Canis lupus familiaris: one gene and its partners. The protein of the gene in region 1 purifies or fractionates together with the protein of each later gene. This does not show direct contact. Links are inferred from orthologs where the notes say so. Each region holds a gene or a part of one and is shown in the gene's direction. Other genes may lie near its edges.

What was found.
Region 2: the proteins of AGO1 (region 1) and STUB1 purify together in Homo sapiens (affinity purification with mass spectrometry; 3 studies listed by BioGRID and IntAct, with this or other methods). This does not show direct contact. The link is inferred for Canis lupus familiaris from reciprocal best matches to the Homo sapiens genes AGO1 and STUB1.
Region 3: the proteins of AGO1 (region 1) and TARBP2 purify together in Homo sapiens (co-immunoprecipitation; 4 studies listed by BioGRID and IntAct, with this or other methods). This does not show direct contact. The link is inferred for Canis lupus familiaris from reciprocal best matches to the Homo sapiens genes AGO1 and TARBP2.

The regions. Positions count from the first base shown.
Region 1 is NC_049236.1:6,332,083-6,341,988, reverse strand, and holds part of AGO1 (protein argonaute-1), read left to right. Parts: intron 1-41; coding exon 42-201; intron 202-385; coding exon 386-476; intron 477-1,736; coding exon 1,737-1,931; intron 1,932-3,600; coding exon 3,601-3,735; intron 3,736-4,276; coding exon 4,277-4,378; intron 4,379-4,914; coding exon 4,915-5,114; intron 5,115-5,353; coding exon 5,354-5,462; 3' UTR 5,463-9,906.
Region 2 is NC_049227.1:40,360,524-40,370,529, reverse strand, and holds STUB1 (E3 ubiquitin-protein ligase CHIP), read left to right. Parts: upstream 1-4,067; 5' UTR 4,068-4,180; coding exon 4,181-4,339; intron 4,340-4,895; coding exon 4,896-5,094; intron 5,095-5,186; coding exon 5,187-5,352; intron 5,353-5,412; exon of another isoform or gene 5,413-5,561; coding exon 5,562-5,649; exon of another isoform or gene 5,650-5,767; coding exon 5,768-5,824; exon of another isoform or gene 5,825-5,904; coding exon 5,905-6,021; intron 6,022-6,098; coding exon 6,099-6,224; 3' UTR 6,225-6,472; downstream 6,473-10,006. Other genes in the region: RHBDL1 (rhomboid-related protein 1), read left to right, coding at 647-685, 978-1,139, 1,343-1,567, 1,643-1,791, 1,883-1,995, 2,070-2,170, 2,251-2,311, 2,398-2,669; JMJD8 (jmjC domain-containing protein 8), read right to left, coding at 6,519-6,599, 6,674-6,808, 6,884-6,951, 7,037-7,156, 7,252-7,320, 7,406-7,502, 7,582-7,831, 7,917-8,011; GATOR complex protein WDR24, read right to left, coding at 8,283-8,636, 8,726-9,066, 9,145-9,249, 9,342-9,463, 9,540-9,658. UniProt on the Homo sapiens protein: E3 ubiquitin-protein ligase which targets misfolded chaperone substrates towards proteasomal degradation.
Region 3 is NC_049248.1:44,927,571-44,937,576, forward strand, and holds TARBP2 (RISC-loading complex subunit TARBP2), read left to right. Parts: upstream 1-4,408; 5' UTR 4,409-4,693; coding exon 4,694-4,746; intron 4,747-4,837; exon of another isoform or gene 4,838-4,995; intron 4,996-5,309; coding exon 5,310-5,479; intron 5,480-6,282; coding exon 6,283-6,385; intron 6,386-6,914; coding exon 6,915-7,010; intron 7,011-7,574; coding exon 7,575-7,647; intron 7,648-7,840; coding exon 7,841-7,958; intron 7,959-8,144; coding exon 8,145-8,272; intron 8,273-8,565; coding exon 8,566-8,767; intron 8,768-8,911; coding exon 8,912-9,069; 3' UTR 9,070-9,251; downstream 9,252-10,006. UniProt on the Homo sapiens protein: Required for formation of the RNA induced silencing complex (RISC). Component of the RISC loading complex (RLC), also known as the micro-RNA (miRNA) loading complex (miRLC), which is composed of DICER1, AGO2 and TARBP2.

The DNA.
Region 1 (9,906 bases):
TATTTGTTGAACGCACTAATTACTTCTCTCCCTGCTTATAGCTGAAGTGAAACGTGTTGGAGATACACTTTTGGGAATGGCTACACAGTGTGTGCAAGTGAAGAATGTGGTCAAGACCTCGCCTCAGACTCTATCCAACCTCTGCCTGAAGATCAATGTCAAACTTGGTGGCATTAACAACATCCTAGTCCCACACCAGCGGTATGATCTCTGTTGCCCACTTGCCCCGTCAAGCAAGGTACCATGTTGGGGATTGTCAAAACGATAGGACTCTGGCCAGGCAGAGTGAATCAGACACAAGGGAGAGATGACCAAAATGGGTACTAGATGGTGCCAGGAAGAGAAGATCCAACTCCTCACCATTTGTTTTCTCTTCTTTGTTTAGCTCTGCCGTCTTTCAACAGCCAGTGATATTCCTGGGAGCAGATGTTACACACCCCCCAGCAGGGGATGGGAAAAAACCTTCTATCACAGCAGTGAGTGATACTCTCCAGCTTCTTCTTAAGGTTCTCATTTTAGCTCTGAGCTTCGAAGACTGCACATAATATCCTTGCCTCAGCTCTGATGCTTGACCCTTCATAAAAACTTTTTTTCCAGCTGATCATCCCCATTAACCACTCCCTTGGTATCTTCATTAAACTAACTCTGTATGGTATCTGTTTTTCAGAGAGAGCAGTGAGAGTGTAGGCGGTGGCCAGAGACTTTGACCAGTCTCCATCACTCTTGCTCTGTGTTCAAATTTCTCTCTCTCTCTCCATGCCCACTTTTGGGATATAGGAAAGACCATATCTCTTCTCTGAAATCCTTTTTAACGTGGTTACCTAGTTGCTGGGACTGACTGTTCTTTCCTCTTCCCCATCCCTACCCCTGATCCATCTAATAGATTAGTTGTCTTTCCAATCCCTCTCTAGCTTCTCTGCTCCCCATCCCTAGGGGCTTCTGAATTGCTAGGGATCAGGCCTTTCTTCCCACTTCTCTTTTCTCAACCCTCACATTTCTCTAGGCAAACGGGGCTAATCACAGTAAATGCAGGTAAATACTATGCTATGCTTATCCTTGTTTTCCTTGTGGCCGTCCATCCTAGGCTCTGGCCACGTCCCCTTTGAAAATGATATTACTCCTACCTCCTGCAGGAACACTCTTCATTGTGATTACTGGGTAGATTAGTACTTAAATTGAGAAAAGGACAAACTTGTAGCTCTTTGAGTTGGTAGTGCCAGACCTTCACATTACCCTCCTGCAAGGGGTAAGAAAATCGAACTTACCAAGTACTTACTGTGGGCTAGGTCTTATGCAAGGTGTTTTATTTTTTTTAATTTAATTTTATAGAAGATTTTACTTATTTTTTCATGAGAGACACAGAGAGAGGCAGAGACATAGGTGGAGGGAGAAGCAGGCTCCCCGCAGGGAGCCCAATGCAGGATTCGATCCCAGAACTCTGGGATCATGCCCTGAGCCAAAGGCAGATGCTCACCCATGAGCCACCCAGGCATCCCTGCAAGGAGTAGCACTGTAAGCAGGTGGCATTCTTATCTATTTGAGAGGAAAAAGAAGATCAGATGGATTAAATAACTTCTGCATGCATGATAGAGATTGAAACCAGGACTCATTGTATCCAAAACCCTACTAATTTGATTGCATAGTTTTCTTGCTAAGAAGCCTTCCCCAAATCCACATCCTAACAGTGTTGGGAGGGTGGAAGTTCTGGAGGCTGATCCTGCCTCTTTGATTGTTAGGTGGTAGGCAGTATGGATGCCCACCCCAGCCGTTACTGTGCTACTGTGCGGGTGCAGCGACCCCGGCAGGAGATCATTGAAGACTTATCCTACATGGTGCGTGAGCTGCTCATCCAGTTCTACAAGTCTACCCGCTTCAAGCCTACCCGCATCATCTTCTACCGAGATGGGGTTCCTGAAGGCCAGCTCCCCCAGGTAGGGCCCAAAGTAGGTGAAGAAAACCTTCACATTGGGGCCAAAGGGCCTAATGGGTGCAGAGAGTACTGCTCCCTTTTTTAAAGCTATTGGCATTGGGAGGTGGTACTTTGAGAGCTTTGCTAAATGGCAGTAAGGCCTAGGATGGTCCCTAGAATTTATAGTTCCTTTTTTTTTTTTTTTAAGATCTTATTTATTTGAGATAGAGACAGAGCACGAGTAGGGGGAGTGATAGAGGGAAAAGGAGAAGCAGGCTCCCCACCGAGAAGGGAGCCTGATGTGGGATTTGATCCCAGGGCCCCAGGATCATGACCGGAACCAAAAGCAGATACTTAACTGAATGAGCCACCCAGGTGCTCCTAGGATTTGTAGTTGACAAGTTCCTACATAGGTGATGCTGCTGGTTGGAGGTCACACTTTGAGAATTACTGCTGTTGAGCTTCCTTCAGAATGTTCCTCCTATTCTTTGTCCCTGCCAAGTCTTCATATTCTGTTGTTCAGAGTATATAATGAACTGGTTTCCTTGACTACCACTTAATATTAATACAGCTGTTATTTATTGAGCACCTCTTATGTACTATGAATTGTGGTAAGCACTTCATATGTGTTCTACTTAATGGTTAGAAAAACTCTATGAAATAATAATTATCCCATTTGACAGATGATGAAACTTGAGGCTTGGAAATGTTAAATGATATCTTCAGTGTCAACCAAGCTAAACAATGGTGGAACTGGGATTCAGACAAATTGGTGTGATTTGAGTTTATGCTCTCATCCATTTCTCAGTTTTCTCTAAGTCATCCAGTCTTCCCTAAAACAGCAGACAAATTTATACTATCATTTTTCTGTTCAGGAATGTCTAGTAGCTTCACATAGTCTTGGGATAAAATTCAAACTGCTTAGCAAAGCAATCAGGAGTTATTAAGCCCCTACTAGGTTTTTTATACTTTTACTTAATTAATCTGTTACACTTTTCACAACAGTTTTGTGAGGCTAACTTTAGTAGATGTGGAGAAAATGAGACTTAGGAGGTTAAGCAGCTTGCTAATAGGAATATAACTGAATAAAGCTTGGGTTTAAACCTAGTTCTAATTGATTTCCATTCCGTCCATTTTCTACCATACAGTTTTGACTCCCTATATCTGACTTCTAAGGCCACAAGGCAACTATTGCCTATGGTTATTTACTTGTGGGTTCTTCTTTAGCCCATTTTCTTATAATCCTGCTTCTTTGTAGGACTGAATTCATCTACTCCTTCTGTATCAATTCCTGAACTATGTGTCTGCTCTTCTCTGGTGATCTCAGCACTGTCTGCTCTTAGAGCTCAGGGGGAATTCCTATTATCCTCCTGATTCTGAAATTGACCTTACTTTGGGCATTGTGATATTAGTGATGTCTGTGTACTTTGGTTCTGTGTCTTTTTATATATGAACCAGGTGAGTGCTCTCTGCTGATGCCAGCCTCCCAACCAAGGTTTTTTAGCAACATATCATGGCAACTGAGTATAAGACAAATTTTACAGGAAGGCTCTGTCATCTGTGATGGTTGGGTGTCAGCTTATAAAGAGACTGAGCAAAAAGCCATATACAAATGGCAACCTCGTAGTTCACACAGATGTGACTTAGGAGAAGCTATATGTCTCTTTGTCTCCCTTCTCACTCGTGCCTAGATCCTGCACTATGAGCTGCTGGCCATTCGTGATGCCTGCATCAAACTGGAAAAGGACTACCAGCCTGGGATCACTTACATTGTAGTGCAGAAACGCCATCATACCCGCCTTTTTTGTGCTGACAAGAATGAACGAGTGAGTAAGAGATTGAGGAAGCCACTCATACCCTTATCCTGTGTCCCTTCTCTTAATATGGAAAAAGCCCTTGAGATAAATTTGGGGATTTAATCCTTGGTTTGTCTGTTGTCTCTGGCCCCTTCCCCCAGCTCTTGTCCTTCCCTTTTTTCCTTTTGTCCCCTCCTGCCTTTATAGTCCGGCTCCTTCCTCCTAGCTCCCTCACCTGTAGACCCCTCTATAGACCAGCTCCCAGAGAAGAAAAGAGAAGTACTATTTATTGAAGTTCTGTTATATGTCAGACACTGTACGAGGTGTCTTCCTCACAGCAGCCCTGTGAGGTAGGTATTATTACCTCCAGTTTAACCTCAAAAAAGTTAAATGACTTGCTAAAGTCACACAGCTAATGAATGGTAAAATCAGGTCTGTGTGACAGTAGAAGCCCATTATTTTAATATCTAATATCCTCTAGGAACAGCAACTTCTGCTTTACTTTTGAGATTCTGGTGGGCCAGGCAGACCTTGGGATCTTGGGATCTTGGTTGTCTTTGTCTCTATACAGATTGGGAAGAGTGGTAACATCCCAGCTGGGACAACTGTGGACACCAACATCACCCACCCATTTGAGTTCGACTTCTATCTGTGCAGCCATGCAGGCATCCAGGTAGCCGGGCTATGTCCAGGGGTTTCCAATGGGTCAAAAATGAATTGATTATTCCCATTGTCTCTAAAATATATCAGGTGTCACTGAGGGCATTCAGAACAGGATTATTCTCTTAATAAGCTTTTAGCGTATATGAACAGAAGTACATTTTGAGCATCTTAAGCAGGATTGCCCGTAACAAGGGTATTTTGTGACATAGGTAGCTTTGTGTGTGCGTCTTCCAACCCAATCACACTCCTTTTTTTTTTTTTTAAAGATTTTATTTATTTATTCATGAGATGCACACACACACACATACACACACATACACACACAGAGGCAGAGATACAGGCAGAGAGAGAAGCAGGCTCCATGCAGGGAGTCCTATGTGGAACTCCATCCCAGGACTCCAGGATCACGCCCTGGGCGGAAGGCAGGTGCTGAACTGCTGAGCCACCCAGGGATCCCCCACCACACTCTTAATAGTGATCCTATTCCTTAGCATTGGCCATCCCTTCTGCCCAACCTGGGGCCCCCTCACCTTCCTATCTTCCCAGGGCACCAGCCGACCATCACATTACTATGTCCTTTGGGATGACAACCGTTTCACAGCGGATGAGCTCCAGATCTTGACGTACCAGCTGTGCCACACTTACGTACGATGCACACGCTCCGTCTCTATCCCAGCACCTGCCTACTATGCCCGCCTGGTGGCTTTCCGGGCACGATACCACCTAGTGGACAAGGAACATGACAGGTGAGGCCTAGGATCAAGGTGGCTTTCCTTTAGCATCAGCCTCTGGTACTAGATCCTCTCAACTTTCCTTGGGCAGAAGGAAATGAATATTATATAATATGGTATCTTTGGGCTCATATGCCCAAATCTGGGTTGGGGCTTTCTCTTAACTTGGTATGGGAATTGGTACTCTGAATGGGGGAATGGATTAGCAGCAGCTCAGTGCACCAGGAAGGACTTCTTTCATTTTTGCTTTTCAGTGGAGAGGGGAGCCACATATCGGGGCAGAGCAATGGGCGGGACCCCCAGGCCCTGGCCAAAGCCGTGCAGGTTCACCAGGATACTCTGCGCACCATGTACTTCGCTTGAAGGCAGAACGCTGTTACCTCACTGGATAGAAGAAAGCTTTCCAAGCCCCAAGAGCTGTGCCGCCCAAATCCAGAGGAAGCAAGGAGGAGGAGGGAGGGTAGGGAGGAGTTCAGAAGGCCTTGTTTCCTTCTACAAAGGGGGCAAAAGGGTGGGGAACAGGGCCAGTAAGCCAGACCACCAGCCAGAAATCTTTGATGTCCACCTCATGACCCCCACCCCTCCACCCATCTTGTCACATCTGGCCCTGACCCCACTGGACCAAGAGGGGCAGCACTGGTGCCCACCATACACACAGGTGTCTCATGTGACTCACAGTGCTAAAGACTCATGCCTGACAGCTTGCTAAGGTCGGCTCTGCAGCCCCGCGGACAAAAGCTGGTAGGTTTGGGTTTGATACTTTAGATGGGAGAGTGAGGGGCTTGAGAAAGTGGGTGGGAGGAGGGAAGGATTTTTTAGGAGCCTTAATCAGAAAAGGTCTAGATTTGTTTAAGAGGAAAAACGAAACCAGACCCAGATCAATATTTTAGAATACTAGATGTTTTAATGGGTTGAAAATCCAGTTTGTAGGAAGATTTTTAATGCTAATGATTTTGGTTGCTCCTCCCCCAGCTGACACCCCTTTTTCCCTTATTCCTTTCTCTCTACTTTGTCTACCCCACCTTACACCTCCTCCCTGACAGACATCCAGCCCCTAGTAAGACTTAAGGCACTATGGCACTTAGCTCTGAAGTGACACGACCCTGTCTTCCTTCCGCCTACTGGTGGGTAACCAGTGCCTTCCCTGTAACGGTAATGCTGCAGAACTGCAACCTTTTGTACCTTTCTTTGGGGGGATGGGGTGGGGGTGGGAGAGGAGGTAGGTGGGGAAGAAATACCCCTAACCCAACAAGCCTCTAGCCAGAGCGCCAGCTACTTTGCATTCAAAGGAATTAACTTCCATATTCATTGAGCTTTTAAAAAGATCACAACCTCAAGATGGTTAAAGTCCATTGACATTTGCACTTTCAGACATGACAAGTCTAGGAGCTGCTGAGATGACTGGCCCTTGGCCTTTCCACTTGACGCCTCCTTTTCTCCCTGTCGTCGTCCCCCCCCCCCCCCCCCCAGCCTTCCCACCTGCCTGGGTCTGGAGTTACTTACATCGCATTTCTCATTCTTGGCTTCTTTTTTCCCCTGATGGTCAAGTCGATTATGTTTCAATATTTCTTAACTGGGGTGTCTTATAACAAATGATCTTTAGGTCTAAAATAAGAAAAAAAAAAAGAGCAAAAACTAAATGTTATTTTTATACCATAACTTGAGTCTGTTGCCAAAATCTGGAAATCCCTCCCATGCCCAATAAGTTTACATCCCAGAAACATTGAGCCATCAGAAGGAACTATGTACCTGACTTATTCTTTGGCCTGGCTAGGTAGGGAGAGTGGTTATCTCCCCAAGGTGGGGCTCAGGCTCCACCCTTCCCCTGTGCAGATAATATCGTTTTCTTGCTGTAGGCGCCCTCCTCTGCACTGCCCTGTACTCTTCCTGCAAGTGCATCTTCCCTTTCTCTAGACTGTTCTCTGACACTTTGGCTCATCCCAGATTCCAGTGTGTCCTGTGGACAGGCTGGGGGATTTTGCTGCTCCCTATCGCTTCTGTTTACACAAATGAATTTTTCCCAGTTTCCCACTAGGGCATGTGAGTGGGTGGCATGGGCCTTTGTTTTGTTTTGTTTTGTTTTGTTTTTGTCTCCCTGGATAAAGATGGGGTTTGGCTATCTTGCAGAACTGGAAAAGTAGGGGGTTTCTAGCTTGGTGCCTGCTGGCCTTGAGGCAAGGCCCCCTCTTTCCTTAACTGTTCATTTTTTTCCTATCCCACTGCTTGGGATGAGGAGTTGCAGCTTCAGTGTGGAAGTTCCTCTTTGTGAGGAGCCTGGGCTTGGGTTTGCCCCAATCTGGTGATGAAGCCATGACACTTTAGACCTAGCTCAGGCTTGGAGGCCAGTCTGAATCCTGGCCTGTGTGCTTAGAGCTACCATTTCCCCTCTCCAGCAGCCCTTGTACAGACCCAGATTTGCTATGCAAAACAGTCTATCCCAGGTTCTGTTCTGGTTGGCTACTTTGTTCAGCAACTTCACAAAACGTAGCACAAACATTGATTATGGAGAAGGCATCAGGACTGTTGAGTAACTCCTCCTCTACTTCTTCCCTACTGGCTACGGCATGGGATGCCCCATGGGCACAGCCCAGCTGAAGAACAGAATGGAGGGCTCTGGGAGGAGGCAGCTCACTGGAGAGCCTACATTCCTTACACAAGTGCCTAAAGAGAGTGATGCCAACACTCCATCTGCCCTGTCCATCGCCTTCATATAGTGTCTACTTCGTGTTCAGTCACCCTTTGGGGAGGGGAGCTCTCTTGGGACAATGGGCTCTGCATGTTCTCTTCTTTGGGTGCATTTAGGGGCTGGGATCAGGGCACTGTTCCTGGAGGGTCCAGTCATTCACCAGCATTTGCAAATATCCATAGGGAGCTGGTGGTAACCACCTACTCTCAGCAACAAGTTTATGTTCTCCTTTTTCTCTCTTTGCCTCACTCTCTCCATTTGGATTTTGAGCTGGGGCTTAAAAAGCATTTTTTAGCCCTTGGGCATTGCACATGCCATTCATGAAATAAAAAAGCAAGAGAAGCAGTTTGGGCAATGGCAAGAAAATGACTTCTTGCTCTGATTTCTTTTTTTTTAATCTTTGAGACTTGAAAAATATCCTTGACCTTGAGGATTATTCTTGTTTGAAAGATGGTGCATGCAGTTTGAGAAGTGGTGTTAGCAACAAGCTTTGGATTTCTTGGATTTGGTTAAGTGGTGCTTCTTACTTGTGCTCTGAGAAAGTGTTGGGGGGACCCCAGCCTCATCCTCTTGGACAGGTCTCTTGCTCCCTTCATTCTACTCTCTTGCCTCTCTTTTCTACTTATCTCTTTCCCTGTTGTCCTTTTCCTTTTTTCAATTCACTAAGCTTGTTTGCTGGCCTGCCTGCCTACGTGATGATGAATTCTCTGCATGGCTATGATAATCCCACTGTTAGCTAGCAAGGTCAGGCTTAATACTCCTTGGCTGCAGAAGACCAAGAATCTGTTCTCCAAGCCTGGTGATGTTCTCTCTGGGCTTGACTGCCATCGATGTTATACAAAGGCAGATCAGCAAGCCTGCCTACCTGGCATGAAATCAGGAGGGCTTCTGACAACTTCCACACCTGTCCACTCCTTGGGGTTGGTTTCTCTCATTGCTTTTTCTAGATCTGGTTCCATGTCTCTACTGGGGCCTCCCTTTTCTGAGGATGTCCTAGGGTTGAGCTACTTGGTTTCCGGTGTTGGGGGGTTAGGGGATGGACATGGGGGAAGAAGAGAGTGATCGGAAGAAAATGGGAGAGAATTTGGATAAAAGATGGGAAAGAGCACTGTTTATTGATCATTTTTCCAGTCTAGTCTGACCCATTGGGGGTTGAGGTGCTATTGCTGAACCTTGGGATAAGCCTGGGGCTATTGTTGATGGGAACTTAGGTTTAGAATAATGATGAGGAAGGTACCTAAAAGCATGAAATCTCCCTAAAAACCTCCTGGTTCCCACCTACTAGATAGCCCCACTAAGGCCTCCTCATTGGCTAAGCAACAATGTTCTTGGATGGGTTTTGTTTTTGTTTTTGTTTCTGTTTTTTTGGGGTCCAGAATTCAGTAAATGAGGCTAGCACTCAGGATGGGCAGCCAAGGGGACAATTTGACTTCTTTGCTGGCCCATGGGGTATCTATCTGCAAGGCTGGTGGACAGTGTTTTAGACCTGGCATCATGTGTAACAAAGAAGAATGGAAGTTCCTTCCCCTTCAGGGTGGAAAGTCATCTCAAACTAGCCAAAATGCAGTTTTGGAAACTACATTGGGGGAAGTTATTTTTTATATTTACTGGGCCTCGGCCAATCCAGGATGGTAGCTGGGATGCCTTCCTTTTAAAGTCTGATCATGGCAGGGATATGCAGGGCACTCTTTCCTATTTAGCCTTCTAAGCAGATTGGGGAGAAGGGATTCTCTGGTTTTCTCTTTCCCCCCTTTTATTAGGACTTGCCTTCTCCCTAGGCAGGGAGAGAGGCTAGGTTGGTGCTCTCCCCTTACTCTATTCCTACTGACTTAGAACCTCTGGCTGCTGTTTGGGAGCCTAAGAATGGGAGTGGAGGGAATGGGCTCAAAATAAAACAGAATAAGGTGGGGAAGGCAGATTTCCTTCTTTAAAAAGGAAAATAGGAAACCCTCCAAGGATTGTGCAAGTAAAGACAATGTGTCAAATGCACTGAGTCCCCTGGTGTAGTAGCAATAAGGAAAAATGAAATGACTTTCCTGTGCACACAGTCCAACCCGATTGGTGTGTGATGTTGCACTTAGCAGCCATCTGGTGGGCATGTGTGACTACTCTGGGTTTCAC
Region 2 (10,006 bases), on another chromosome or scaffold:
TGGGCCTTAGGGTCTGCACCCACACGGGGGCATCCACGGCTGCAAGTCCCACCGTGCAGCACTGGCTTGGGAGTGGGGGTCTGCAGCCTGGGTGTGGGGTGCTGTGGACTGAGCAGGGTCAGCTGCACCAAGGGACTCCCCGCCCCCTGTGATCGGCCCTGTTGGCTGGCCTTGTCCCCGTGGTGGGACCGTGGGGCTTTCCTGCCACGGCCAGACACGCGAGCCCCACGGGCAAGCTGGCACCTTCAGGGAATGCTGGGCAGAGCAGGGTCGCAGGCGGCGCGGTGGCCAGGTCACCCCAGGGAGGCGGCTTTGAAGCCCCAGGGTGAGGGGCGGGGAGGGATGGGGGGGGGGGGGCTGCCCCGTGACTCAGTTTCCCCAGCCGCGCGACCGAGCAGCCTCAGCCCCAAACGGTAGGCGAGGACTGAGCTGTTCCCTCCCGGGGCGCGTCCGCAGGCAGAGCGCGCGCGTGTCCCGGCCGCGCGTGGGGGGGGGCGGCGGCGGCGGCGAGCGCGCGGGGGCGGGCGGCTGTGGCTCCGTGACGCGCGCCGGCGGAGCGGGCGGGCCGGGGCGGAGCGGCGTCGTCCGCAGAGCAGCCCCTTCCGGCCGCCGCCGACCCCGGCCCGGCCCGGCCCAGCCTGGCTCTATGGACAGGAGCTCGCTGCTGCAGCTTATCCAGGAGCAGGTGCGTGGGGGGCGGGGGGCACCACCGGGAGACCTGGGGCCCCTGCTCCCCTGCCTGACGCTCCGGGAGAGGGCGGCCGCGGCTGGGGACGCAGAGGAGGGAGGGAGCCTGCCCGCCCGGAGGATGCGCAGGGCGGGAAGGAGGTGGGGAGGCCGAGGAGCGGTGGAGCGGGAGCCCGGGACCCGCGGGTACGGAGGCCTGGCCCAGGGAGCTGGGAGCCCGCCCCTCTGCTGGCCCGGCCCCGAGGCCGCCCCACCTCAAGCCTTGGCCGATGGCCGCCCCCCGACCCCAGCAGCTGGACCCTGAGCACACAGGTTTCATCGGTGCGGACACCTTCACCGGCCTGGTGCACAGCCATGAGCTGCCCCTGGACCCGGCCAAGCTGGACATGCTGGTGGCCTTGGCCCAGAGTAACGAGCGGGGCCAGGTCTGCTACCAGGAGCTGGTGGACCTGGTCAGTGCCACAGTGGGTGGACGGCAGGGTAGGGGCCCGGCCGAGCGGGTGGGCAGGCAGCCCCCACGCCTGCCCTTCCCACCTGGGAGGGGTGTGGACGGGGGCGGGGACTCAGCCTCCACCAGGAGCAGGGGGGGGTAGCAAGGGGGCAGGGTGGCTCGGGGCGCAGGGAGCACGGTGGCCCATGCTTAGCGCCCCCCCAGATCAGCAGTAAACGCTCGAGCAGCTTTAAGCGGGCCATCGCCAACGGACAGAGGGCGCTGCCCCGGGCCGGGCTGCTGGACCAGCCGGGCCTGGGTGTCTACAAGCGGTTCGTGCGCTACGTTGCCTACGAGATCCTGCCCCGAGAAGTGGACCGCCACTGGTACTTCTACCGGCACCGCAGCTGCCCGCCCCCCGTGTTCATGGCCTCAGTCACCCTTGCCCAGGTGTGCCTACCCGCCCGCCACCCCGGAGCCTCCCCGCGCCCGGCCCAGCCCAGCCCTAACGCCCCTCTCCCCCAGATCATCGTGTTCCTGTGCTATGGGGCTCGTCTCAACAAGTGGGTGCTGCAGACCTACCACCCCGAGTACATGAAGAGCCCCCTGGTGTACCACCCCGGCCACCGCGCTCGAGCCTGGCGCTTCCTCACCTACATGTTCATGCACGTTGGGTGAGCGGGGGCCCGCCTCTGGTGTCCCCGTCGGGTAGGGCTGGTGGTCCGCCGCCACCAACCTCACATCTGTTTACACCCACATGGCCAGCCTGGAGCAGCTGGGCTTCAACGCGCTCCTGCAGCTGATGATCGGGGTGCCCCTGGAGATGGTGCACGGCCTGCTCCGCATCAGCCTGCTCTACCTGGCCGGGGTGCTGGCAGGTAAGGCAGGCACACGCCCCCCGGCCACTGCACCGGCGAGCCTCCTGCTCACGGCTCTCCTTTTGCTCACACAGGCTCCCTGACTGTCTCCATTACCGACATGCGGGCCCCTGTGGTGGGGGGCTCTGGTGGGGTCTACGCCCTGTGCTCCGCACACCTGGCCAACGTCGTCATGGTAATAGGGCAGACAGCGGGGCGGGTGTGGGGAGGGGCCCATAAGGCCTGCCTCACAGCCTGTGTCTCGCGCCCCATCAGAACTGGGCTGGGATGAGGTGTCCCTACAAGCTGCTGAGGATGGTGCTGGCCTTGGTGTGCAGTAAGTACGGGGTCAGGGGGCTGAGAGGGGCCTCAGCCTCAGGCCAGAGTGCCTCCCACCTGCCCACCTGCCACCTTTCTCTGCAGTGAGTTCTGAAGTGGGCCGGGCCGTGTGGCTCCGTTTTTCCCCGCCACTGCCTGCCTCCGGCCCCCAGCCCAGCTTCATGGCACACCTGGCAGGTGCAGTGGTAGGAGTCAGCATGGGCCTGACAATCCTGCGCAGCTATGAGGAACGCCTGCGGGACCAGTGTGGCTGGTGGGTGGTGCTGCTCGCATATGGCACCTTCCTGCTCTTTGCCATCTTCTGGAACGTCTTCGCCTACGACCTGCTAGGCGCCCACATCCCTCCACCACCCTGATGGGCTCCCCAGGGCCCCATGGGTCAGGGCACTGGTGTGTGTGGGCTGGCTGCCAGGCGAGCCTGCACATCTGCCCTCTGTGAATGTACACCTTGAGACTGCTTCTCCTCCGTAGGGGCAGGTGGCCCTCGCAGCCCACTGAGTCCAGGCCAAGCCTTACATCAGCCCTGGCCACCCCCTCCCAGGCCTGGGGACATAGGACTGCCTGGCCAGGCAGTGGAGGTCCCCAAGTGTGGCCCTAGGGAGACCCTGCCCCTGCCTCTCCCCCACAACTTGCGGTCTGAGCCTTTTTGGAGAATGAATAAATATTTTACACAGCAGGAGGTGGCTGCAGTGGGCTCTGGGGGCTGGCCCCAGGGGCCCGCCCGGCCCTCGCACGGCAGCCCAAGCTCTCCCGGTGCTCCCTGCACCCAAACCAGGCGTGCGCGTGTGGCGGGTGTGCGAGGAGCTGGGGTCCTCACAGGCAGCGGAGACTGCAGCCCAGCCGGTCGCCCGCCCTCCGAGAACCCTGTGGCCCGGGCCCAGCAGGGTTCAGCCAGCCTGGCTTCTCTGCGCTTCTGGGCCGGCGCGGTGTCCTTGCGGGTGGCCAGGCTGGGGCGGGTCCCACGCGGGGAGGGGTCCCGGGCCTGAGGTCCCGCCCGGGCGGGGACAGAGGGGGGCGGGGGCCCGGGCCCAGGCCATGCGGCGCTCGGGCCGGCTCTGCCTGCCGCATGCACCCCGCCTCCCCAGGGCCGCGGGCGGCGGGCGCGCGGCGGCCTCGGAGCTCCTGCAGCCGGGGCTCGAGCCTCGCCAGCGTCTGGGCAGGCGGCTCCCGCGCACCCCCGGGGTCACGGCCACGGGCCCCCCGGCAGGCGACGACACTCACCGGCCGGGCCGAGGTGGGCTGGGCGGGGTGGGTGGGGGAACCTCACCCGGAGCCCCGCCCCCCGCTTCCACGCCGGCGGCCACGTGCTCCTCCGCTCCGCCCCCGGTGGCCGCGGGGAGCCCTCTGGGGCCTGGGGAGGGCGGCGACGGAGCCTCGGGCAGCGGGGTTCGGCCGTCCTGCCACCGCTCCAGAGCTTCCAGCCGTCCCTGGCGGCCGCGGCACCTCCCCGTGCGGCGCCAGGACCGCAGCCCCGCGGCCCTCAAGGCCCCACGGCCGCGCAGCCAGCCGGCGGCCGCCTAGTCCGCGCGGGGCGGGGCCTCGGCGGGGCGGGGCCTAGGCGGGGCGGGGCCTCGGCGGGGCGGGGCCGCGCTTGTCGCTGTCCCGGACGTCCGACGTCGCGGGTCGCGTTCCCTCGAGCGCATGCGCCCAGTCGGTCCCGCCCCCCCTTGCCTCCGCGGCCCGTCGGACGCAGGCGCGCCCCCGCCCGTGCCGCTGGCCCCGCCCCGCGCGGCCGGAAGTTCCGGTGGCGGATCGCTGGACCGGGCCCGAGCGGATCGCGGGCTCGGGCTGCGGGCTCGGGCTGCGGGCGCAGGGCGGGCCAGACGCGGAGCCTGGGAGCGAAGCCCGGGCTGTGCCGCGCGGCGCTATGAAGGGCAAGGAGGAGAAGGAGGGCGGCGCGCGGCTGGGCGCCGGCGGCGGAAGCCCCGAAAAGAGCCCGAGCGCGCAGGAGCTCAAGGAGCAGGGCAACCGGCTCTTCGTGGGCCGCAAGTACCCGGAGGCGGCGGCCTGCTACGGCCGCGCCATCGTGAGTGCGCCCGCGCCGGGGGAGGGGGCCGGCGTCCGGGCGGGGGAGTGGGCGGGGCCCGGCTCGCGGCCCCGCGTCCTCCCCGGAGCCCCTGCCCCGCCGCTCCCGCCGGACCCTCGGGGCGGTCTTGGTTCGCCCGCGGGGGCGTTTGGGCCCCGAGAACTCGGTGCTGATCATGTTCCAGTCGAGCCAAGGCCGCGCGGTTCTCGAGCCAGTGCTGGTTGCTGGAGGGGCGGGTGGGAGCTTGAGGGGTGCTCGAGGCCCCAGGCCGGGACCAGGGTTCCTGTCCCTTGAGAAGCCCAGGCCCGAAGCTGGGGCTCTCCTCAGGTCCGGGAACCTCACCTTTACAAAACCTCCTGGGAGCCCCGAGAGGGTGGGCTAGCGCAGGCCTGAGGACCGGGAGTTCACTCTACAGCCCTAGCTGAGCAGAGGCTTCCAAGCTGAGAAATTTCTAGTGTCTGGATTTTAGCTACGGGCTCCCAGACCAGGACAGGGCCTAGGACAGGGCCCACGGAGCTTTTTCCCTCATGCTGGCTGGCCTGGCCTTGGTCCCCAGACCCGGAATCCTCTGGTGGCCGTGTACTACACCAACCGGGCGTTGTGCTATCTGAAGATGCAGCAGCATGAGCAGGCCCTGGCTGACTGCCGGCGGGCTCTGGAACTGGACGGGCAGTCTGTGAAGGCACACTTCTTCCTGGGGCAGTGCCAGCTAGAGATGGAGAGCTATGATGAGGCCATCGCCAACCTGCAGCGAGGTGGGCCTACAGGTTGTCAGGGGACGGCGGGGGCGCCTGGGACCAGGTGGATGGACTGGCCAGAAGGTGACCTGAAGCCCCTGTTCCCCCAGCCTACAACCTTGCCAAGGAGCAGCGGCTCAACTTCGGGGATGATATCCCTAGTGCTCTGCGCATCGCCAAGAAGAAGCGTTGGAACAGCATCGAGGAGCGGCGCATCCACCAGGAGAATGAGCTGCACTCCTACCTCACTCGGCTTATTGTGGCCGAGCGGGAGAGGTGGGCTGTGGTAGCGGCAGGCTCCAGGGCCCCACCCACCCCCAAGGCAGCACTCTGGGGTTAACTGAGTCAAGAACACAAGTGTTTATTGAAGGCCAGCACTGGCGAGCAGTTGGAGGGAAGAGAGACCTGAACAAGCCTGAGGTTGGGGTGGAGTGTGATCTCTTCTGGCCAGACCCATTCCTGACTAGCTCCTGGTCGACCCCCAGGGAGCTAGAAGAATGCCAGCGGAACCACGAGGGTGATGAGGATGATGGCCACGTCCGGGCCCAGCAGGCCTGCATCGAGGCCAAGCACGTGAGGGTGCCCCAGCCCACGTGTGGATGTGTGCGTGTTTGCGTGCCTGTGACTGGAGGGTGCCCGGGGGAGGGGGAAGGGGCATTTGGCCCACGCGTAGCTGCTTGGTTCTCCGCAGGACAAGTACTTAGCAGACATGGATGAGCTTTTCTCCCAGGTGGACGAGAAGAGAAAGGTAAGCTGTCTGTCCTCTGGGTAGCAGGAATCGGAGCCGGGTCCCCATCCTGGTGCCTGACCTGACTCCATGTGCCACAGAAGCGAGACATCCCGGACTACCTGTGTGGCAAGATCAGCTTCGAGCTTATGCGGGAGCCGTGCATCACGCCTAGTGGCATCACCTACGACCGCAAGGACATTGAGGAACACCTGCAGGTGAGAGCCAACAAGAGTGGGGAGCAGGGCCCGTAACCACTGAGCACTTTCTGACCTGCTGTCACTGCACACTGCAGCGTGTGGGCCACTTTGACCCTGTCACCCGGAGCCCCCTGACCCAGGAACAGCTCATCCCCAACCTGGCCATGAAAGAGGTCATTGATGCATTCATCTCCGAGAACGGCTGGGTGGAGGACTACTGAGGCCAGGCGAGTGCCAGAGCTGCCTGCCTTGCCTAGTACCCTGGCCCAGGTGGGCTTTGGGGCAGTAGCTCCCAGTTCCTGTACATAGTTTGTGTCCCTAGATCCCTGCCCTGGTGTCCCTTATCCCACCCTCATCAGTTCTGCTGCTGGACCATGAGCCCCACCTCCACCCCCTTCTGGGCCAGAAACAGCAGGTGAGGGTGGGCTGCTGCCACCACTGTCCTGTAATAAAACCTGTGAGCACTATAGGGGTGTGTGCTGGTGTGTGCTGGGCTCACCAGCCGCCCACTCTACCTAGCCGAGGAAAGTAGAGATAAAAACACTGGTGTCCAGGTTGAGCGTAGCATGCCACCACCGGTCAGGGAAATACAGCACCTGGTGGAGGGTGGGGCACAAGGATTAGCTGGTGGCGTGTGATCCAGCCTGACCCCTTCCTGCCACCTACTGACCTCACCAGCCTGCACGGTGCACTCCAGGGGCCTCTCAGATGGTGCCAGGGTTGGGTACACGTCCTGAAGCCAGGCCAGTGTGGTTTTGTTGGGGTGGAACTCAGGTGTCTTCTCAGGGGGATACAGGAACCAGCGCTGAGGGTGAGATCAGCCCGTCACTCCATGTTGGCAGGCAGTAAGCCCCAAGCCGCAGCCCCGGCCCGTGCTGACCTTGCGGCCGTAGATCACCTCTGAGAACCCGGGCCCGTGCCAGTGGAAGGGCACCCCAGAACCAGCTCCTGTGGGGTCAGTTAGGAGCACTTGCTGACGCAACCCCACCTGGCGCATCCCCTTCCTCCGGCATGCCACGTGCAGGGTACCCACCTGCGATTCCAAAGCTGTAGGCAGCAGTGGTACCTAGCAGACTAAACGGAGGCGGGGAGTAGTGCTGGAAGAGTGAGGCCCATTCGCTGAAATCGTTGTCCCCGAAGAAGTACAAGGTGTCTGCCAACACAGAATATAGGAGGCGCCCGGGTCTCAGCACCTGTGCTTGTCCACATGCCCCCAGCCCAGCCCACGGCCAACCAGGTGTTACTCACCGTTGCCCAGGGAGCTAGGGTCTTGGGGGTGCAGTAGGTGCTCCACGTAGTCCTGGAAGGGCAGGTCCACTGTAGGAAAGGGCCTGGTCAGGACTGGCCGAGACCGCCTGCAAGTGCCGGCAAGCAGGTGGGGCGGCGGCGCGCGGCAGCTCACCTTTCCGGTAGGAATAGGTATTGGCGGTGCTCAGCCGGACCACGCTGTCCCCGAACGAGGCCAGCAGCCGTTCTCGGGAGCACAGGGCCCGGAAGCGCTGGGGTGGGGTGGGGTGGGGAGAAGATTCAAGGGCGGGCCGGCGCGGGTGGAGAGGCCGGGCGGGGCGCTGCACTCACCGAGTTGTCCGTGAGCCGCTGCAGGATGACGGGCCTGGAGAAGGCGTACCTGGAGGGGCGGGGCCGCAGCGGGTCGCACCGGCTCGGGGGAGGGGCGCGGGGGCCGGGCGGAGGGGCCGGGGCGGGAGGCGGGTGTGGGGGCTGCACGTACTGCTGCACGAACTCGGCGTAGCTGAGGTCCGCCCGGCGCTCCACGGCGCAGCGCTCTTCCTCCGCCACGGCGGCCGGGGCCCCGGGCCCGCGCCTCTGCCTACGGGCACGGCCGTCAGCGCCCCGCCGCCCCCCCAACCCGGCCGGCCGCCCGCGGGTCCCGGCCGCCCGCCCGCGCCGCTCACCACCCTCCGTCGCCCGTGTCCCCGGCGCCGCGCAGCACCGGCGCCGCCAGCGTCCAGACCGCCAACAGCAGCAGTGGCCGCGCCCCCGGCGCCATGAGCCCGCCGCCGCAAAGCCTGCCGGGAGCTTCGTTGTCGTGGCAACAGCGCCCGGCCCGCCCCGGAAGCAGCTCCTTTGGCCCGCCCCGGAAGGCGGAGCGGCCGCCGCGGGTTCCCATGGCGACGACACCGCCCACCCAGCGGAGCCGCCCAGCATCGAGCTGGCGGCACGAGCGCACGCGCGGGTGACGCGTGTGACGGGCGGCCTCACACTGCGGCTCCTGCTTCCTTTATTCGGTCCCCACGCCCAGCGCCTCCCGCCCGCGGCGGTCAGGAGTACTCGCACAGGTGGCCGCAGCCCGCCGGGCAGTGCGAGCTGCCCTCCAGCCACTTCATGATGTGCTGCAGGTGGCCGCCGTGACTGCAGCCCTGGCACCACACGAACAGCCCCTTGACCACGTGGTGGCACACGGCGCACATACTGGCGCAGCGGTGGCAGCGGTCACAGACCCAGCCGCGGCTGCTCATGGGCCGCTTGCAGTGGCTGCAGTTGACATGCAGGGTGGTGGACGCCTGGTTGAGGCAGCTGATGGCGCGGCTGGTGCTGAGCTTCACCACCTGGTTGGACACGTTCCAGAGGCAGAAGCGCTGCAGCAAGTCGATGTAGGACGTGTACCAGTGCTCCTGGGGCGGCGGGAGGGAAGGAGGCCGGAGGTCAGTGCGCCGGCGGCCCTGGGGTGGCAGGGACGCCCTCCCCAGACCCACTCACCCACCTGGGTCTGCTCGTCGATGTCCTTGCGCACTCGTTCGCCCAGCACGATGAGCACGGACACGGCCATCTGCACGTCACCCTGCTCTGCATAGAAGCGCAGCATGTCACACACCAGGGCGCTGAAGAAGTCGGGCGGCAGGCGGCTGTCGTAGAGCGCGTGCGAGACGGAGATGAGCGAGAAGGAGGAGTCCACGGGCACCATGGAGGCTGCATCAGCCTCACTGCCGCTGACGTGGGGCGAGTCAGCCTTGTCCTGCAGGTGCTCGGGCCCCGGCGGAGTGTCCACAATCTCATGGCGTAGCGGGAAGGCCTCCTGCGGCAGCACGTACTCGGGCTCCTCCGCTGAAGGCAGGGTCAGGGAAGGCAGGGTCTGAGCCTCCCGCCCCACCTCCCAACCCCACTTCCCCAGCGCCCACTCACCATGTGCATGTTCTGGCTCCAACAGGTACAGCTCGTCCTCTTCGCCCTCCACGTCACCCAGCAGATAATCCGCAGGCACGTCGCTGCCCTCTGTCTCTTCGTTATCTGCCCATAGGGGAAAGGGTGTTCCAGAGGAGCTGATTCTGGGAGGCCCCAGCCCTACTCCCACCAGTGCCCTGTCCACCCCCGCAGCCTACCCTCATTGGTGAGGAGTGTGGCTGAGGAGTCCAGCAGCACTGTGTCGCTCCGTGTGTCACCCTTGCTACGGTCCAGTCTGGTCTCACTGCCCAACCCTGGCGCCATATCCTTCAGGTTGAAACTGGGGGCAGGGAAGGCCAGTGGGTAGATGGGCTCCAACAGCCCACCCTTAGGGCGGAGCCACCCCAGATGGCTACCTGTTCATGAGTGGCAAGCCGCAAGAGCTGCCCTTGCCCACGCTGTGGTTGAGGTTGGTGGCAGACGCCAGGCCAGGGCTACAGTAGATGATCCTCAGCATGGTCCAGGTCTGTGCTACCTAGGGGAGGATGCCAGGCACTCACCGGGGGCCTGGGTCCCTGGCACCCCATCTAGCACCCTCCACTCCCACCTGGATGGAACCACAAACTGTCAGGTTCTGCTGCCCCAAGCACCCAATGTACTGGCCCACTCCAGCTGGGGAACTGAAGCCTGTGCCAAAGACAAAAATCCTAGTCTCGATCCTACGAGGGGATAAGCAGAAGCAGAAACTGGAGGCAGTCAACATGCAAATCGGTCTGTGGTCCCAGGAAAACAATGAGAAAAGCCATGTCGACCTCTGCAGGATCAGACATCTTGAAAAATCCAAAAGCAAAAATGAGCCACAAGCGGGGCTGGAACACTAACC
Region 3 (10,006 bases), on another chromosome or scaffold:
GGAGCAAGGTATGAAGGGCCACCGGGTGCCTCGGCCTCGGGCCCTGGGCGGGGGACCCGGAGGAAGGTCCGCACATTTAAGCAAATAGTTCCTGGGGTGGATGGGCATTTCAAAAAAATCTGGAAGTGCTCGCTTCGGCAGCACATATACTAAAAAAAATCTGGAAGACAAAAAATAATAAATAAAAATATAAAAAGATCTGGAAGGACAGATACTGAAGTGTAACAGTTTCTAGGTAGGTGGAATTGTGGGTGTTTTATTTTCTTTTTGTGGCTTATCTATATTTGTCTAATATTTCAGTAATAACTTTGAATTGCTTTTAAAATTAAAAAATCGATTTCAAATTGAAAATGAGGCAATAAATATCAGTGTCCGTCTGTTCCTGTCACCTAGCTTGGGACCGTGTGCTATGGAGGGAGAGCGGGTGGCCTGGGGATCAGAGACGCTCGGCTGAGGTCCCGTCTGCGCTCCTGACCAGGCAGGCGAGCTAGGGACCAGGAGACTCCTGAACAAACCTTTTTCTCCTCTGAATGGGAACCGCGGTACCCCGGTCACACGGTGGCCCAACAGTCTATAACGGGGTGGTTCTGGGTCAGGTGGGCCTGGGTTCAAGACCTAAACTCTCCCCCAAAAGTGCTTTTTTCACTTTGAACAGATTACTTCTTTAGGTTTCAGTTTCCTCATCCCTAAGACCGAGATGACGAGAACACGCCCCGACTCTTAGCCTGGTTGAAACGCGAGCGACATAATCGCAGTAAAGTTCCTGGCCCAGGACAGGGCACACAGGACCGTCCCCAGAAACACAAGCCATGTTGAAAGTGCCTAGCAAGTGGCAGCGGCGTTTCTTTTATAAATGTGATTCCCTTCCCTTCCTCGCCTTTTCCTCGACGGCAGCAGAGGGCACAGGTGCAAAGGGCGGTGCACACGGCGGGGCAAGGAGAGCAAAAGGAGGGAACCGAAGGCCAAGGGCTCTTTGTCCTGGGTGATCCTTAGGCTCCTCTGCCATCGTGTCCCTGCCTCATCACCTTCTCCCGAAACAAGGATGACCCTGGTCCCTCTGGGAGCAAATGAAGCCGACGGACCAGTCTCTGTGGCCAACCCCTCATGAAGCCCACCTGTCACCTGCTCGCCTGGCTCCGTAGTAGCCTCCTGCCCCACAAGGGACTCCTAGAAGGCCACGCAGGGGAGAGGGAGGACTGCGTGTGAGAAGCCACGGGGTGAGTCTGGGGTGCTGGGCACTAGGATTCGGGGTCGTCTTCCTAGCAAAACCAGACGACCAGATCATCACCTCCAGGGGAAGGACTGGGGAATGGCGGTTGCTTCTGAGAGGCGTCCTGCACCCTTAGCTGTGAGGATGCACAGGACGTCCAAAGCCAGTCCTCACTTAAACTTCTTGCCTCCTCTGCCCATAACCGGGTTTAATTCGGGGACGGGTCTTTACTTGTGTTTTCATGGAGTTGGGGTATCCCGCCTTCGGTGGCCCCAGCATGGCCTCAGTCCCCGCTGTGAGGGTGGAGGCGTGGCGGGCTCGGGAGGGCAAGCACCTTTGGCCACCCTGAAGCGTGAGATGGCAGAGAGCAGGCCTTGCGTGCCGCTCCGGGAAACTCTGCTGTCTGGACAGGAAGGCCAGGGAGCCCTTGAGCCCCTTCCTTCCAGGGCCCTCGTGCTCGCCTTCCCCGGTGCTACCCTTGAGCCCACAGCCAGGGCTCCCAGGACTCCCAGAGCCATGGGTCCATCCTGCCAGTCGGAAGGAGGCACTGGCTGCGGCTGAGAGGACTCTGGGTGGGGGAGAGACCTCAGGCGCACTCCTAGGTGGAGGGCCACCCCCTCTCCTCCCCAGAGGGAGCAGGTGTGGAGCTCAAGTCCCTGAAGGTGGGACTCTTCTATGCTAAGGGACACCCCACCGACCCCCTTCCCGGGTCTGTAGAGCCTCTGGCCCCTTCTCTTCCGTCCCCTCCACCGAGGCCAAAGTGATCAGGGATCACAACTGTGGGGAACAGATTCTTGCTCATTTTCTAGCCAAGGAGTTTGAGAAATGTGTGGGGCAGAGGCAGGAGGTTCCTGAGAGGCCTGGGCTGGGGAACTGGGTTAGGGGAGTCAGAGGAGCTGGAGAGAAAGAGGGAGAGAACCACAAATGAATGGGGGAGGGGAGGAAGCAACAGCTGGATGGAGAAGGTGAACGGCACAGCTGGAGGGGGCTGGGGGCAGCAGCGGGCAGGGGGAGGCCCTCACCTGGGCATCCTGGAACAGGTGCTCGCAGCCTGTAATCCTCAGGTGCAGCGGGCAGAGCGCGGGAGGGGAGGGGAGGGGAGGGGAGGGGGGCGGAGGGGGGCGGAGGGGAGGGGGCCGCTGGGCACCTCAGGCCCGGTCCTCCCTTTCCTTCCCGGAGGGGCCCGAACTCTTCCTCCTCCTTCCCTCTCCCCCTCCGGGAGGATGAGTGGGAGGAGAGGAGGATGTTCTCTTGCCCGCTGTCCTTTACGTCGGTGCCCCCGCCGTCCCCCACCCCCACCCCCGCCCCGTACGGTGCTTTCCAGCCCCGGAGGCCCTCGGGCTCCCGGCTGGGCCGCGGCGTCCCTCCGCTCCGTCCCCCCCCTTCCCATCCCCACGGGCGTCGGGTCCAGGTCCCCGCTTCCCCCGCCCCGCGGCCTCAGCATCCCCGCGCCACCCCACCCCACCCCGCCACCTCGGCCTCCCGACCCTCCCTCCGCGCCCGGACCCCGGGGCCCGGACCCCTCCCTGCCCCCCGCCCCCCACCTCGGCCAGGCTCTCACCTCAGGGGCTCCGCGGCCGCAGCACAAAAGGCGGCGCTGCTGCAGCTCGGCTCCGGATGCTGCTCCCGCCTCCTCCTCCTTCTCCTCCTCCTTCTCTCCTCCCCCCGCTGCCCTCGACCGGACCCGGGGCGCCGTCACCGGCGAGGCTCGCGCGGCGTCCGGGGGCACGGCTGTCGGCCCCGGCGTCCTCCCCCCACCCCCCGACCCCTAGCCCCGTCCCCACTCGGCTCGAACTCCCGCTCCTTCCGAGGCCCCCGCCCCTGGCCCCCCGGGACGGACACGCCCTGAGCGGGGGATGCTGCGCTGGAGCCGCCGGCCTCTTAAAGGAGCCCGCCGCTGCCATCCGGCGCGCTCCAGGCCCGGCCCCGGCCCTCCGGGGCCCCGCGCCTCCCCGCAGGCGGGGTCGGGTGGCCGTCGCACCTCGAGCCTTGGCTGGTCCCCGAGGAGCCCCCTGTGGCCGGTCGGACACCCTGCCTGCTACGCCCCGAGACGGAGCCCCTCCGCGCGGGGACCCCGGCCGCCCAGCGCTCTGGCGCGGCTCCCCCTGCCTTGCCGAGCCAGCCAGCCGCCCTGCCCGTCGCCGTCACCACTCCGGCTCTACCCAATTGGAATCCGCCGAGCCTAGTGCCCGAGCTCCTCAGCGCCGTTCCGGGGCTCCCCCGGCTCTCCACTACCTGGCCCAGCCTCGGGACGCTCGTTAGAACCAGGCATTTTCGTGGTGTCTCGCCAAGGTCACGAGATTCTCCTACATCTTTGAACCCGGTGGCCGGGACACCCTAGGGAGGAGGGGCTGCAGCTCTGCACCCAGTTAGCGGGTTAGCGTTCAGAGGCCGGAGTCCTCTCCTGCTGTCTCTTCGGCCGAGAGACCCCAGACCCACAGCCGCGGGAACGAGACCACGGTGTGCGTGAGTCCTAATGCTGTCGCCCCTACAGCCCGATTCTCAGGCCCCAGAGAGGGTCCCGGGCCACCTACGGAGAGGTTCCCTGGGGACGGCCCAGCAAGGCTTTAGAGAAGACCTGAAACCAGACAGGCTGCGGGCCAGAACTAGGGGCAGGGAATGAAGGGCAACCCGGGAACACGAAGCAGGGGCTGTGAGACGAAGGCCCCGGGGCCGGGAGCGAGGAGGAACTGCGGGCCGCCGGCCGGCCGGCCCCAGCGCGGAGGGGCTCGAGCGCTCTCCTCCCGCGGCCAGGTGAGGCCACCCCCAGCCCGCGCCGAGCCAGGGTGCGACAGCCCCTCTTCCCTGGACCAATCGCAGCCTTTCCTCAACAAAGGGGCGGGGCCGAGGGGCTGCCTCGCTCCTGGCCCCGCCCCTCGAGGCTCAGTAACCAATCGCAACGTGCCTAGAGCGAGCCAGCGCAATCGGACACGACCAATCCTATCGCGGAGCTCTCCGCGCACGCCTGCGCCTGCCCCTGCGCGGCGACAAAGATGGCGCGCGAGCTGCCGGTCTCTGTAGTTTCCTCGGGAGCCTGCGGACCCGGCGCTCCGGTTAGGCCTTAGCGCCCCGCCCCCAGCCGCTTCCGCTCTGCTCCCGCGCATGCCCACTCCGGGGAGCGGAGACGCGGAAAAGAGGCGGGACGCTATTTAAAAAAAAAAAAAAATTCACACGCACAGACACACGGACACACGGACACAAAGCCACCCTCCGCTCGGGAGGCCACCGTGGAAGGCTCCGCTCCTCCCAGGAGGCGGTGCCGCATCCCCGGGCGACGCCCGCGGGGGCTTGTGGGGCGGGCGGCTCCCCTCCCGATGGAGACTCGGGGAGGCGGGTGGGCGGGGGACTCCATGTCCCGGCATGCCCCGCGGCGGGCCCGACCGGCCGCGACTCGGGGCTCGGCCCCGGCCCTAGCTCGTCGGCGGTGTTCTGGGGCGCGCGGAGGCTGCAGTCACGGTGGGGCCCGCGGGCACGGAGGTGGGAATGAGTGAAGAGGAGCAGGGCTCCGGCACCACCACGGGCTGCGGGCTGCCCAGGTGAGCCGCTTCGAGCCGACCCCTGCCGGGCGAGAAGCGTGGCGCGGCGCGGAGGTGGTAGCGGCGCGGCCCCAGCATGCACCTGGCCCGAGGGTTGTTCCCGGCAAGCACCGGGGTAGTGGGCCGTGGTTCCCGGCATGCACCCCGGCAGTGGCCACGGCCTCCTGCTCTAAATAGTTTGGGGTTGGCCCGGTTCCCAGACTGCACTTGGGGCACTGGGCTTTGTGCTCCCGACATTCAGTGCGTTTGGTGGGTACCGGGTCCCTGGGCTGCACTGTGTGGGGACATGCACCTCCTAACTGCACTGGGGTGCAGGATCCTCCTCCTGCTTAACTGAGACAGGAACAGTGCGTTGCCCGCGTGCTCTGGGGGCCGTGGACCCGGCTTCCAGCCCGCTTCTACTCCACACTGAACCCAGCCAATGTGTGCTGTACTGCCCGGGGTCCCCTGGACCCGTGTCCCCCCATAGTGTGCCTGGGTCTGATACGACAGTGCTTGGCCGGGTGGGCGCAGAGTTGGAGGTGTGATAAGGGTCCGTGACCCCCTGCCCCCGCCTCCCCCAGTATAGAGCAAATGCTGGCAGCCAACCCGGGCAAGACCCCGATCAGCCTTCTGCAGGAGTATGGGACCAGAATAGGGAAGACGCCCGTGTACGACCTTCTCAAAGCCGAGGGCCAAGCCCACCAGCCTAATTTCACCTTCCGGGTCACCGTTGGCGACACCAGCTGCACTGGTGAGGAAGGCTTGGGCAGCCTGGCTGGGGTGTGCATCCGCAGGGCCCTGGTGGCTTTGTGTCCTGGAGTCTCTCCCCAGTCCTTTGCTCCAAGGCCAGTGAGGGAAGGAGAGATTTCAGGGGGAAAAGCCACGGACTCGTTTGGGGGAACGGGTCTTTGAGGAGGCGGGTAGGACTCCGGAGAGTTAGAGGAGCAAGCAGGACCGCCAGAGGGGTCTGGCACATTGTCGTCATCCTAGAGGAGAAAGACGGGATGAACCAAACTCTCAGCGAAGTTTCGAAGGAGTGAGTGCCTGCTGCACTGGGCTCTGTTCCAGGTGCTTGACCAAATTCCTAGTTCGTCTTAAATCGCAGTCTAATCCAGGGATGTGGGGGATAGCACCTCCGAGCTGAATATGAGGGAGCCAAGGCTCGGGGTGGATGTGAGTGGTGCAAGGTCCCGGGCCTGAGAAGTGGCGGAGCGGGGCCTTGACTCCGGAGCCTGCCCTCTTTCTACTTTCCCAGACATCTCTATGTATTGAGAGAAAAGAAAGCACTTCCCAGAGGCAAGGAGAGCCGGGAAAGCGTCTCTGCCCAGGGTGTCTGAGCTCCAGAGCAGTCGTGCCTGGCGTGGCTTGATTTGGGGAGCTCTGGGGAGCAGAAGCCCTCCCTTCTAGTAATTAGCGCAGCACTTCCGGTCTTGGGCAGGGGCAGGTGGTGAGAGGGGCTTGGTTGACTCCCTCCAGCCCTGAGGAGAGAAGCTGTGGGTGCCGGCTTTTCTGTCCTCCTAGTGACCTCCAGTATCGCCCACGCCCCTCTCTCAGGTCAGGGCCCCAGCAAGAAGGCAGCCAAGCACAAGGCAGCTGAGGTGGCCCTCAAACACCTCAAAGGGGGGAGCATGCTGGAGCCGGCCCTGGAGGACAGCAGGTGAGGGAGGACCAGCCGAGGCCTCGTAGAGACCCGGCCAGGAACCCAGGCCCCTGCGCTACCTCCTCTGCCCACCTTGACCTGGCCGGACAGGGCGGGATGCTTCCAGGGCTCCCGCTGTTGTGAAGGATCCTGTGGGGGGATGTCAAGGGGCTGTGGCTGTGGTGTGGGCCCAGGCTAGGGAGGGAAAGGGGCGGAGGCTGAGGCTAGAGGGGTCGCACCCCAACACGCCTCCTCTCTCTAGCAGGTTGTCCTCCCCTCTTGCACACTTACATTGGGGTTTGTTGCCTCCGTGGCTCTTGTGTAGGAAGAGACCGTCTTTCCCCTTGTCTCAGTCGCTTTGATCCAGTGTTTGGCAGCAAAGGATCCCAGAAGGTGGTGGTTAAGCTTCCCTGAGTCTTTGGCTCCAGTGGGAAGGGGTTTTCTTAGGGGACGGGCAGGTCAGGAGGACCTGGGTCCCCACCCTCTACTCCCCACCCCACCCCTGCCCACATGGGTGTGAATCAAAGGCCCCCTTCCCCTCGGGAAGTTCTTTTTCTCCCCTAGACTCTTCACTGCCTGAGGACATTCCAGTTTTTACTGCTGCAGCGGCTGCTACTCCTGTTCCATCTGCTGTTCCAACCAGGTATCTTGTGTTCCTGCCTGCCTGAAGGGGGGAGGTAGGGGTCCCGGCTCCTGGCCCCCCAGCCTTTGGACCCAGGCTGGTCAGGCAGGAGGAAGTCTGAGAGTAAGCAGAGGATGGAATAGTTGGGGACCAGAATTTGAAGACTTTGCCTCAGTTGGTAAGCTCTTGGGACAGGAGGTAATCCACGATTCTTAAATAGCCACAGAGAGGACATTTGGCCATGGTCAGGGGGCCTGCAGGCCCCATTTTCTCCTGAGTTGGCCACGTGATGGTCCTGTGTGTGCCTCCCATCAGGTGCTTCCAGGGACTGGATATACAGCCCCCCTCCCACTGTCCTGGCAAGGCGACGGTCCGGTGTTCCAGAAAGTCCAAATGGGCCTGGGCCCTGGAGGAGACCTCACCTGGGTGGGGAAGGGAGGAAGCAGGCTGGGTGTTTGCATGGACAGCTGCCCGCCTGGCGGGGACCAGGGAGATGGGAGCGGGGACACCGGCACAGGGCGTGGGACTCTGGGCACCGCAGAAGGGACAGCCCCATGGACTTCGGCCCGGCCCTTCCTCCTTCAGGAGCCCCCCCATGGAGGCGCAGCCCCCCGTCTCCCCTCAGCAGTCTGAGTGCAATCCTGTTGGCGCCCTGCAGGTGTGCCCCCGGCCTCCGTCGTGTGCATGCCTGTCTGTCCTTGAACCCGGGGCCACCAGGGCAGTTGTGTGGGGCTCTTACCCGTTCGGAGGGCTTTTCCCACCCCCTTGATTCCCCTAGGGCGGGAGGGAGGGAGGGGGCCCGGGGGTCTGTCCTCACTCAGCCTCGTGCGCCCCCGTTCCTCCCTCCCAAGGAGCTGGTGGTGCAGAAGGGCTGGCGGTTGCCTGAGTACACGGTGACCCAGGAGTCCGGGCCGGCGCACCGCAAAGAGTTTACCATGACCTGTCGCGTGGAGCGTTTCATTGAGATCGGTAACTGGGCAGACGGGAGCGCGGGCAGCTCCTAGCCCCTACCCCCCTTCCTGCTGCCCAGGGCCCGGGCCGTGGCAGCGCCTGAGGGCTCTTTCCAGTGCACGTCCCGCGAGGGGGCCCCGCCCAAGGCCCTGAGCTGGGTGGAGAGCCCGGGAAGCCGAGTGCAGCAGCCTCTCCCCCACGCAGGCAGCGGCACTTCCAAAAAGCTGGCGAAGCGGAACGCGGCGGCCAAGATGCTGCTTCGGGTGCACACGGTGCCCCTGGATGCCCGGGATGGCACCGAGGCAGAGCCCGATGACGATCACTTCTCCATCGTGAGTGGCCTGTGGGGCCGGGCGGCCGCTGGGGGCCTGGGCCCGGCACGCGGATGAGCCGCCGCGGGGGCCCCTGCCCGTGCTCCTGCTTGGCCCCCGGCTCGGGGCTGCTGGGCGCGCTGGGCCGAGAGTGAGGAAGGCTGCGGGGCCCCGGCCACCGGTTAGCGGGCGGCGAGGGGGAGGCAGGCTGGCCAGGCGTTCACCCGCGGGCTTTCTCTCCGGGGCGTCGGGCGTCTGTTCCACGCCGGGTCTCAGCCCGAGGCCGCACCTTTCTCACCTGCCCGCCTCGTCAGGGTGTGGGCTCCCGCCTCGATGGACTTCGGAACCGGGGCCCGGGCTGCACCTGGGATTCTCTGCGAAATTCCGTGGGAGAGAAGATCCTGTCCCTGCGCAGCTGCTCCCTGGGCGCCTTGGGTGCCCTGGGCCCTGCCTGCTGCAGTGTCCTCAGCGAGCTGTCCGAGGAGCAGGCCTTCCACGTCAGCTACCTGGATATCGGTAGGGCCGGGGAGGCGGGGGCTGGCGGGGCCTGGCCCGAGTGGGCCTGCGTGGGCCTCGGTCCTGGGGAGGCCTGGCGACCGGGTGGCGCCCCGCCCGCACTGCCCTCCGGCCCACGCGCCTCCGTCCTCTCTCCGCCCCCAGAGGAGTTGAGCCTGAGCGGGCTGTGCCAGTGCCTGGTGGAGCTGTCCACGCAGCCGGCCACCGTGTGTCACGGCTCCGCGACGACCCGGGAGGCGGCCCGTGGGGAGGCTGCTCGGCGCGCCCTGCAGTACCTCAAGATCATGGCGGGCAGCAAGTAGAGCCCCCTGGCCTCCCTGCGCACCCCGGCTCCCCCCGGCCTCCACCTCTGACACAGACTGCCTGCCTGCCGGGAGCCAGGGCCCACGGGGCCTCGCTGGCCCGAGATCCGCCCCTGTCCGGTGGCGGGTGGGAATGAGGTGGGGGTCCCCTGGAGCCCAGAATAAACCCACTGCCTCTGGGCTTCTGCCGAGTGGTTCTTCCCGGTGCGGCCCAGCGCGGGGGCGGAGGGGTTGGCACCGGCTGCCCTCCCTGGGCTTCCCCCCTTATTCCCCACGTGTCCCCTCGCTGGCCCTCCTGGTGGCCGAGGCCGGGTGCAGTGACCTCCAGGACCCCGCGGCCGTGGCCCTGCTGAGCCGCTTTGGTGGCGACAGAGGGGGCAGTGCTGCTTGCCCTGGGGACTCCCCGCCTTTCGAGCCTCACACAGACGTGCATTCAGGAGGCAGGCAGGTTTATTGGGGGGGCGGGGGGGGGGGGACAGGGCACTTTTCCTCGTGAGCCCCGCGTGCAAACATATGGAGGGATGACGTCACTTGTTCCCGAAGCGCTGAGGGGCGGCCAGGCTCGAGAATGGGGAGCCGGCCCCTCCCGGCTCGGGCTCGGCCGCCCGCCGCTCCCGGAGCCCCCACCCTGCCCGGGGCGCGGGGCCTACTGCGCGGGGGGGCAGAGGCGGCGGCGAATCCCAGAGGAGCGGCCCCAGGACGCGGCCCCTAACTCCCCGCGAGGGCCCCGACGGCGGCAGCAGCGCGGCTCCAGTCCCGGCCCCGTCCACGCCGCCCGCGCCGCCTCTTACACCTGCCGGCCCCCGCCCCCCCCTCCCCGCCGGCCCGGCCCGAAGCCTGCGGTTCGACTGTTCGCTGCCTAAGCCCGTCGGCGGGGCCAAGCGGCGTCGCCCGCCGCGGGCTCGCTCAGAGCCCGGCCTGGGGGCCTGCGGGGGAC